Linked DNA regions of Drosophila melanogaster. The gene in region 1 interacts genetically with each later gene. Each region holds a gene or a part of one and is shown in the gene's direction. Other genes may lie near its edges.

The links. Genes that interact genetically often act in the same process or in processes that back each other up.
Region 2: of Eip75B (region 1) and Hr51, changing one suppresses a phenotype caused by changing the other (phenotypic suppression), as found in Drosophila melanogaster (one study listed by BioGRID).

What each region holds. Positions count from the first base shown.
Region 1 is NT_037436.4:18,061,288-18,067,051, reverse strand, and holds the start of Eip75B (Ecdysone-induced protein 75B), read left to right. Parts: upstream 1-2,355; 5' UTR 2,356-2,541; intron 2,542-5,598; exon of another isoform or gene 5,599-5,764. UniProt on the Drosophila melanogaster protein: Implicated in the regulation of ecdysone-triggered gene hierarchies. Probably plays a key role in mediating the regulation of the larval molt by 20-OH-ecdysone.
Region 2 is NT_033778.4:15,329,151-15,334,582, forward strand, and holds the start of Hr51 (hormone receptor 51), read left to right. Parts: upstream 1-2,174; 5' UTR 2,175-2,450; coding exon 2,451-2,496; intron 2,497-4,426; coding exon 4,427-4,817; intron 4,818-5,432.

The sequences.
Region 1 (5,764 bases):
TAACAATGACTGACAATTTTGTAAAATGAGGGGTAAGTGAAAATTCACTTAATAGAATTGTAGTATTTAAGCGTTGGATGGAAAAATATTTAAAATGGTGCCCTCTATCATACAATTTATATTAAGCAATTTGAACTAGTTGTTTAACTATACTGAAATTTTGGCTTAGATATGCATCATAAGGTAATACAGGAACTTGTATCAGTCTATAGTGGGCATCACTGCCTTCCCCACGCTTGGGACCTTGGCAATGAGGCACTTCCAGCCATGGATCCGAATACGAAACCGAACCAGAGCCAAGGACCCGACTTCGGATGCGGAAATGCGCATGCCTGCGTGTCCTTGCCCTTGGTCCTTGGTCCTTGGTCTTCGCCCGATGGAGCAGTAGTAAGTCTCGTAGTGCCCCTGAAAACTCTTTTAACCTTCGTGCAGCCGTGTGGCAAGTGCATCGATGCAGCTCGCAAACATGCGCTTTTGCACATCCGCTCTATGCAGAGAGAGAGAAAGAGAGACGTTTTTAACTGGATTCAGATTGGGTTGACGGGGGCATCCTCTTAAAAGGACCAAGGGTGGCGTCTGGTTGCCCCTGCCACGTGTCGCCAGTTGCAAATTTCACGACGCTGTCATTGACCATGGTATTTGACCACTATTGTATTAGGGCTGCCAGGGCCAGTGTCTCAATGCAACGCCCTCGTTGCATTTGGAGGTCCTCAAGGAGACAGATTCGGTTCCAAAATGCCCCAGAAGACTGAACCTGAATTGGCAAATGTCTGCAGTGGTATTTGCAAGGTTAAATTACATTTGCTATAGTTTATTTGTACAGTCGTTAAAACTTAAAATAATAAGCATCGATATTCCATAAAATAAAATAGTCAATATGCAATTTCAGAGTTTCTATTAAAAAATTATAATAGTGTAGTCACGGGGGGTTTTCTTGAAACGCTGTCCGGGAACAGTGATGATAAGTTCTTGAAAGTTAATCCCGTCTTGTCAACAACAATGGCAAATAAGAAAATCAAGGTTACAAGATGCTGTTCCCTTCAAACCTATCCCACAGCGTGAAAGACAATGAAAGCCAGATCCATAAGAGTGCAACCCCCGATGCTGGCTAAAATCGAAGCTCATAAAGGAAGTATCTCTGCCTGGGACCGACCTTACCAAACAAAAAGTAGCCCATCGAGTGTCTAGGAAACCGCTTGTCCTCTTACTCCTTTCTCGCCTTTTCTGCTTCGCGGCCCTTTGATACCCACTCGCTTTCCACACCCCAAGTCCAAGAGTCTGAAGTTTGCTTTCATTTCGTTGCCCGAGGGGTTGCAACTCCAGACAGACAGGGACCGACAACCAGGATCAGAAAACCCGAGAAATCCACCCACTCGCCGACTTTTTGCAATTATTTTTAATTTCTGTGCTACGACAACTCCCGGAATGCCAAAACTTTGCAACCCCAAAAGAAGCACGCAAAAGGGGCAAGTCACTCCAGGCGGGAACCACGATATGTACTACTGTACACGTCAGAAACATGGAAATAAGCTTGGAAAGCCCGGTACAGGGCAACTTGAAATGTTGCGATATCGAGATCATTAATTTGGCCTGTCTAGTTGGATAATGATTATTTTATTATTTCTTTTTATTGATAGTTCATCATTTAATGAGTTCCTAAAAATTTTAATATAGGTTGGTAGGGATTTTTATTTTTTTCCAAGCTAGTAGTAAAATATATTTGGGTTATTAAAGGATGAAATCAACACACACCTTCCATATGTTCCACATGAAAACATCAGCAAATTTCTAAAAAATTCTTTCTAATTTAGCTAAACCAAAAAAAAATTAACATAATGCTCTAAAGAACTTGTTTAGTTGTTTAATTGTTTAAATAATTTTTCAAGTTTCAAGATTTCAGATTTCTTAAACTGAAAAATTAGCATGATTTCGATTTCTTTCTAGCGGGCATCCACTGTGGCGACGTACACGTCCGCGCCTGAGTTCCATGTTCGGCGTCCATTGCACCCCCAATCTGCTTTGTACATTGACTTCTCTGCTCCGCTTTGTTCTCTGCATTCGCTGCAGGTTCTGGCTCTGTCGGCCTTCCGCTCTGCTCTTTCTCTCTATCACTCTCTGTAATGGTGATGGTGCTCTCCCTTTTCTCTCTCTGTAGCCACTGTGCATTCCCATACCACGACCTACCTTACCCACACCCACAGTGCGCTGCCGCTGCACAACTCCCGCCCAGGCAGCGCAGTCGGCGTCGACGGCGACAGCGCAGTTCGTTTTCATATTGAAAGTAGAATTTTTCACTTTTGCGAAAATTTGCAGTCCAGTCTCGGTCTGGTCTCAGTCATTTTGAATACGTCATGTGGAACGCACCGTCACCGTCGCGTTCCGTCCTCTGTCGCGCTTTTCCTCTTCTGCGCAATCGTCTTACCAATCGGCGGTTAACTTTCGTTTGTTAGCACCAGAATTCGATCGGGACAAATAGCAATCCTCTGAATGCAGATACAAAAAGTATCTGCGTGATGCGTCCGAATAAGTGGTGAACTCTTTGTACGTGAATTGGATTAAGGCAGAGTTGTGTGAGTTTTGTGTGCCAATTCGATGCTATATAAATATCACAAGTAACAAGGGAAGCACAAGGACAGTCTTTTCAATCACAATCAGAATAGTGCAAACAATTGCCAAAGTTTAAAATTTTAAGCTGTGACAATATTAAATACAGAAATATCTATAAAAAAATATGGTGTAACATATTATTGTGTGCAAGTTAACACTCGTCGTCATTGAAAATAATTCAACTAACAGAAATCCTTTATATATAGGATTTGTGAAACTGATCTATCTTTAAATAGAAAACTTATGCTTAAACTCATGAACCATTCAACAAAATTCACTTAACTGCGCATAACTGAACGATGTTAAGCATATACATATGTATAAGCATTATGTGACTCATGAAAGCATAAAAAACGGTCAAATAATATCAAGAACGAAAAATGTGCATAGAAATGCTCTCAAATTGTTTTAAAATAATAAACGAAGCAAAAAGTAAAAATATAAAATTTGAAATAGTTGAACAAAGGTTTGCGAAGTACTTAACAGTTCATACAATCGAAAGCCTAAAAGTTAAAAGTAAATTAAAAGCAGGTTGCTAAACTAAACAGAACAATACGAAAACCGACAAACATAAGATAGAAAAGTGATCATTTTATATTGCACAAAACCATGTATAAGGGTCGCATGACCTTTAACTCTCGGATATCAGGCGTAACTAAGTCCTCAATTAGATGGTTAAATTTATTGACCAAAAAAAACGAACTCGAAAGCACTTATCCTTCCTGCTGAATAAGCTCCTTTTTTGGACCCATTCCCCGGCTGTCTGACTCATTCCACTCGGATGAAACTCCGTCTGGAGTTGCAACCCTCATTAGAGGCGAGCCACACCCCCTGCAAACAGAACGCAGCCCCACCACCCAACGCCCCCTGGCAACTCCGCTGAAATGCAGAGACCCCAAGAAAACAGAGGAGGAAAGCTAACAGGGGATCTGCAGCCCGTTAACAGAGCGCTGCTTGCTCAACTGTAGACGCCCTGTTAGACTCGCCTTGGTGTGGGTGAACTTGAACACACATACACTCACGTGCTCTATTTCTCTCGGCGCTCTCTTTTTATTTGCACTGCTCTCTTGCTCGATTTATTCTATTTCAAGTTCTTATTTTGCAATGCAAGTGTGTGCGATGTCGTTCAGTGTTAAGGTCAATACATTGCCGCCTCGTGCTGTGGTGTGCGTTTTTGATTGTAGTCTGTGTGTGGGCTTGCACTTGAAGAAAATGTGTAATCAAAGTATAATTTTTTATTTAACCGTAACGTTGATTTTCACTTAAATTTACTGTGGCTAACAACATAGATTTAATTATTATTACTAACCAATTTTTTTTAAATTAAATAAGATGTTTGAAATCAATTAAACACAACTATGTATGTGATTGCAAAATATTCGAATAAAAGCATCATTTTATTAAAAGTTTTATTAAAATAAATTGTTATATTTTAAAAGCCTGTTCAACATATACACTCTGTCAAATGGTTGCAGCTCGTGAGGTTGCATTTTGTTTGTTGATTACGCTGCTATTGAATGTTGTCATGCACACGCGAGTGCACACACTTGCACGCCGAGTGTCATCGCCTTTGCTCGTTTGCAAATAGCGGTTTATTCGGCGCCTAGCGTTTGTATCTCCGTACATTTTTCTGGAGGTCTCCCCCACTGACGTTTGCGGAAACTTCCGCTATATGGCCGCCATCGAATAGACAGGGAATTGTGGGGCATGAGGCATCATCTCATGGCGCTTGGAAAAAATATGCATTTGTTTCGCCAATGCCAGATGATTGCTCTGATTTCGTGTTATAGACAGGTGAAAGTAAGCGATGTTGATAATACTTCTTATTAAGTATTAAACTTTTGATGCTTAGTGATAATGAAAATGATAAATTTATTAAATTAAAGTTATCTGTAACAAGACTAAAGTAGAACAGCCTTTGTTTTTATAAATTTATGTTCAGATAAAATGTTTGTAGTCACTTTTTACAGGATGAACATTCAAAAACTTTCAACAAAACATAAAAGGCCAAGCCCCAACCCAAACTAATTTAATTTTATGCGCAATATTCCCTTTTTTGGCAATACAGCTCCATTCATCAATTACGAGCAGACCCCGAACCTACCTCAATGCGTAACCCTGCCCTTACCCAGAGAAAATAACCCAGTGTAGCCCAGACCAACCGAAAAGCGCAACCCCACGAAAATCTCTCCACACGCACATTACTCATACGCACTGAAACACGGAAGTTGAGTCCCGTCAAGTGAAACCCCAAATGGGAAGCGAGCAACCCCCGAATAATCAACCCTTAGCCACAAAAAACTCCAAAAACTCCCCCTTGAAACTGCCCCAGTCCAAATTTTGTTAACCCCCATCGCAAAAAAAAAGTTTAGAAAAATCCGTGTGCGTTCTTCTCTTTTGGCTGGCTCATTCGCGTTTATTTTTGTTTATTTATGTTTTGCTTTTCGTATTCTTCACCTCAGCTTCCTCGTACGCAGTCGCTCTCTCTCTCCGAGCCTCTCGCTTTCGAATTCTTCCCATCTTTGCAGTCGGATTCTCTCATTTTTCATACGGTTTTCACTTTCATTGTGCAGCTTTTTGCGCGAGAACCGACTCGCTTTTTTGTCGCTCTTTTCTGGTTCTGTTCTGGCTTTCAGAGCTTTTGCTGTTTCAGTCAGAGAAAGTACGGCCAACGCAACGGTTGCGAATATATTCCAACCTGTCGCGATTCTAGCAAATAAACAAAGCCCCACTGGCCGAGCAGAGAGTGAAAATATAAGGAAAAAATATATTGAAAAATATTATAATAAATATACATATAGTGTCAATAAATCGGGGAAATGTGCAATAATTATGGGAGCTCGCCAAGGTCCCTTATATAAGCGATAGCCCATTGTCAAGGGCGCCAAGTGTTTTCCACATTGAGCCGTGGCCGTGGCCGTAACCGTGTCCGTGTATCGTGCTCGTATCGTATCCGTAGCGCCTCGTGAGCGTCCTTGTCCTTGTGCAGGCCGAACAGCTGCTTGGGTCCTATCCTGTCCTGTTCCGCCCCCTTCGGCCGCGACCTCGTCTTCGTCCTTGTTCTTGAACCGCAGTCCTCCAAAAATATCCGCTGCTACAGCAACTCCGCCCTGAAAACGACCTTCCCGTGCGCCCAGCTGTTGCTACCGACCACCCA
Region 2 (5,432 bases), on another chromosome or scaffold:
GAATTTTGATTGATTAAATAAAGTGCACTGCACTTGATAGGGCTTGCCACCCACCGCCCTCTCCAGTGGGTGGCACTCGCAGAGATTTGTCGGTGTGGGTGAGTGTACGAGTATTCGTGTATGTATCCTGGCGATGCGAAATGTCGCCGTTCAAATGTCAAGAACCAACCCCGTCGTCTCTGCTCGTCCTGCTCGCACGATGTCATTGCTCTCGCTCACACCGACGGGCATCCTGCGTGCACGTCTGTTACAGGATAACGTCGCTCTGTCTCTCTGTATTTCTATCTCGCTCTCGTTCGCTCCTCCCTCGACGTGGTGGGCGTGGCCATGCTGGCAAAGCGCTTTGACTTTTGCATTTGTTCACTTTTGTCCCGAGCATAAACTTCTGCCAGCCGCAGCTGCTCTCTAGCTTTCTCCCCCGCGAAGAGAGCGAGATTGCAGAAAGGAGCGGTGAAAGGAGCAAGGGAGGGAGCTGCGGGGAGGGGCTGTGGCTTGCCAGGATCCTGACTGTTGTATTCCGACATCTCATTTGTTACAAAGTTAATGTCGGCGCATTAAGCATGGCAAAAGCCCCACAACAAAATCGGGGAGCACAACGGAGCCCCCATGCCGCCCGTTTTGGTCCTGCGAGCAGCATTTATCGATTATTGGATTAGTGGACCCGGGACCACCTCTAGCTCTGGCTCTCTTATCCATAAAATTATAATGTATAGAGAGTAAATAAAAATGTGTATGCATAAATAAGACTACGTAGACCATTAGATAGAACATCTTTACACATTACATTAAGTTTGACATTATAAATATTTTAAGGTTATACTTTTTAAAATATAAAAACCCACTTCTGAGCATATATATTCTGTCTTCAGCATATTTTCTCGAACAGTTCACAAACTTGAATGACTGGTTCTATGAGGCTTCTTAAAATTCGTTAAAACTTAATTTAATACAAGCCTTGGTTCTTACTTTAATTTCTTGTACAAATAATAATCTAAATATCTATATCTAAATATATAAATATATAATTGTTGCAATAAAATCAGGAAGGTAAATGAAACATGATTGTGATATTAAAGTTAAATAAAATCACCCATCAAATTAGAAAAATATTTAAAAACAAACAAATTATAATATTAGGATAATATATGTATATTATAATATATATATAATTTAAAACTCTTTTGGTTATATGTGCACTTAAATATTCTTGATTTAGATCCAAGTACACCCACAGACACCAGCAGAAACATTTTCTTCTTCAATTCAATTACAGTTTACTGGGTGGCGGCAATTTCTGGGTGGAAGTTGGGGCTTTTAGGGGGCGGTTAGAATACGAGGCCAAGAGTGACGTCGTTGGCAGAGGGTCAAGAGGGGGGCCAAACTGTTAGCGAAAGGATCGAGGGGCAGGACGACGCAAGCTCGAAAGCGCCGACATCACAAAGGGTATTATAAAACAAAAACAAAATGTCAAAACCCAAGACGATTATACGAGCGCCAGCCGCGCAGCTGCGTCATTCGTTTCATGGTTGTATTGGTGGGGCGCCACCATTGCTCTGCTCCACTTCCGCTCTCCCGCCCACTTCCGTTTCCGCTCCCCGCCGTCGCTCAGCTTTTTTGAGTCATGATGGCGACCGGGCGTTCTCTGCTCTTTCGAGTGCCTTGGTATGTGTGCTTGTGTGTGTGCGCAGAGAGCGCAGAGCCGGGTGTTTATTGGAGATTGCGATTGCGGCTTGGCTTACCCACACTCGCAGGGCCGCACACCAACACACTAACACTAACAGCGAGGACAAGCTCCTGCCGCAGCATCAAGAAGGAACGAATCAAAGCAAGCCAACAAGCAAATGCGCCACCAGAGTTGCCACTAAAAGTCTCCGTTGGTGGGTGGGTGGTGTGCGGTTATCCTTCGCTCGCTGCTCCTTGCTCGCTGCTCGATGCTCTCTGCTCTTCCTGCTCCTATGTGTGTGTGTGTGCAGTGTATGCCGTGCTTTTTGTCCTCACACACACACGCGCGCGGCAAGGACTTCTCTGCCCACTCAGCGACCGCGGATTATATCCTGCGATATGGTTTTTTCCCCCTAGTCCGGGGTTGGCCCGTTGGCTGGTTGGCCGACTGCTGGAGTGGACACATCAGTGTTTAGCTCCTGTCACGCTTTTATGATAAATCTGAAATCCGGAATCTGAAATCGTACATCGAGACGTTAACATCATCATCGCGGCACACTCGCAGCGCCGTCGGATCGGATTGGTTCGGTTTCATCAGCGGGAATCAGAGGACCGTCCACTTGCCGTCGCCTCTCCACGATTGCAAATTAATATGGAGCCTACTGCGATGAACCCGAAAAGTGCCATTTAAAAGTGGTGTTTTAGAAATTCTTACAAATAGTGTCAATTGTTAATAAACTTTTCAACGAGGTGTGATCTTTAATCGCAGTCCGCCAAAGCTCAACAAAATGAATAAGGAAGAAAATTCCTCCGAAACACGACCATCTTCTCAAGGTAAATTAGTGTGTTAATAAAAACATGAGTATGGTGATGAAATATATTTATTAAGCTGTAAACACAAAGGTGTGGTTTCCTTACTTAAATACATAAAAAAATAAATATACAAGATGGCCCTAATGGTGGCTAAAAATTCCTTTACCAACAAATTTTAAAAAGGACAATATCACGTTTGTTGGGAAATTGTGCGTGAAATATAATTACGTTTCTTACACCCACGATTAATTAGGACGGATAAGATAGGAAAATAAAAAAAGTGATATGTTAAAGAAAAAAACGGAAAGGATGTGAAAGCAAAGATTACAAAAAACGACTGGCATCGTAATATAAATTAAATTTAAGCTTTTTCATTCTAATTACCCGACGGAAAAAATTGTTTCAAATGTGAGTTGTAATTAGTGCCGAAATAATAATGTTATATCGAAAACTAACACACATTTTAAGGATTGAGTTCCTAGCAAAAAAAAAACTTTAACAATTCATTTTATGATATTCAGATATGACTCCTTTTTTAAGCGAATTCTTATACGTCAATTATAAGTTTAGCGATTTGAATAGAAAATCTATTTTATAGCTGTGTGACCAATTTAAATATAATGTTAAGAAGTATAACTTTTTATATGTTGAAATGACTGGATCAATTGTAAAATGCCCAGACTAAAACATGAAAAGAAACAAGCGGATTCTGATCGCTCTGCTCGGAAATCACATTGGCAATTTTAATTACCAATTTGCAGGAACCAGTTGTCTGCGGAGACACTCAAATCAAATCGATGCCCAACTTGCTGATGGCATGCACGAATGGCCAGGCAAATTCAATTTGCGATAATCACCAAATTGAATTAGACTCCGAGTCAGGCCGCCAAAAATGTCAGAAATTCATAACACAGCCATCCCGGCGCCCTTAACACTTTTGTGTGCGCCAAAGTGAATTTCAACGAGCCCATAAAATTAACAAAGATGCCCCGGTGCCCCGGAAAATGCAAGCATATGACGCTAATCCTCCGGCTTTGGACCGCAGTCCTGCCAGTTGGTCCCGGCTGAATGGCCGCCTGACTTTGTCTTTCCATTCCAATGCCAAGCAGGAGCAAAACCCAAACCCAAACGCAAACCAGAACCACGAACCCAAATGGTCGAGCGCACAGCCAAGTGGCGAGTGTTACAAATGTGTCCTCAGCCTCGTCCTTGGAACGTCGAGGGTTAAGTGCATCAAAAAATCAGTAAGGAAACTACAATCAAATTAGGGTGTGATGGCAAAACAATCGTCCCCCGAGGCAAATTTGGCGCACAGATTGCTCGGCACGCTCTGGTCGAGAGCCGTTTGGCTTAATGGCACCCTAATTGAATGTGTAAATATATTTGCGGATTACAGGGCGTCAATGTCGCCACGCAGGGATAAGATCGGCAGGTCCTTTGCATCCGCAATCCGGTACAACTGACAAATTGGGATTTAATTTATATGAACTGCATAAGTGATTTTTTATTGCACCACCCATTACCACCGGGAAAACTGGTCTTAAGTCTGGTCGAAAATTTTAAATGTCTTATGCTGGAACGAGATTAATCATTTAATATGCCGATGAAAAGAATAGCTAAAGGACAATCATTACGCGTTAAGTTTAAAAATGTTAAGCTACAGTGCGGAAATTGTATAGAATTATACATTACATTTCTACATTCTGCTAGTATTAGCTAAACATTATGTATACTATTTTTCCCGTTTTATAAACAATTTTGAATATTTATTAATATTTAAACGCCAACTAAGCTTTAACCACTTGCACAATTCGTTGATTTTAAGATCTATATACGAGCTAATAAACCCAACTGTATGATCTTAATAAAGCCGTAGTAACTTCCCAGATAACAAAAAGATACAATTTCGATTCTCTTAGATACCATTCACTAATCTGCTTCATAACTTTAGAACTCCACAGTCCGCAGCGGCATTGCTACACTCCGCCGCCGGCGCCGATGCACGGACAGGCGCCTCCACCTACATCAACGGGCGTGGCCCCGCCCACACAGCCACCGCCCCCTCATCCCGCCGCCCCAAACGTGCCCAATGGTCGATTGCTGAGCTGGAATCACAGTGCCGCTGCAGCTGCTGCGGCGGCGGCAGCCCAAGCGGCAGCCAACTCCATGAACCACTCGTCGGCGGCGGAGGGTTCATCGATGACCCGGATTAAGGGTCAGAACCTGGGCCTCATCTGCGTGGTGTGCGGCGACACCAGCTCGGGAAAGCACTACGGAATCCTAGCCTGCAATGGCTGCTCCGGATTCTTCAAACGCAGCGTGCGGCGGAAACTCATTTATCGGTGAGTGCACACAGAAAGATATTTTGCGGACCTCAAATTAGAAATAAAAACTATAAATAACAAAAAGGACTTCCTTAACACGTCATATAGAGAGTAAAGTAATTATGCCATATAGGCATAAAGAGTAATTTAAACCATTAATACATATATTGATACTCCCCTGCAAACACTCCCATTTTGTGAATTTTAAATGTGTGGTGCCAGTTTTATTTCAGTGTAGCCCTAACTATGCTCCCAAATCCAGTCATTACCATTTCATTTCCATTAAATGTTGCAACATTTGCCCAAAAGTGGGTGGTGCCGGGATGGGTGTGGGCCGCTGTGCCCGGAGGCTCGTCTGGCGGATTACGGAGCTCCGGCAAATTCATTACAATTATTCAAATCTTTGGGATTTGAGCGTCAACTTTTGAATGCGCATATTTGCCCTCGCGTTGACTTTGTGCCCAGAATGGCATCATGTGCGAATGCCACTTTACTTTCGCTCCCCTCTCTCTGGATTGCAGCTTAAAATGTAATTGAATTTAAAGTGAATTCGTTTAAAACTTTTTCTTTTGACGTGGGAATTTTCCAAAATCTGACAAAAAAAAAAAAAAAGAAGAGAAGAGAAGCAAAAGC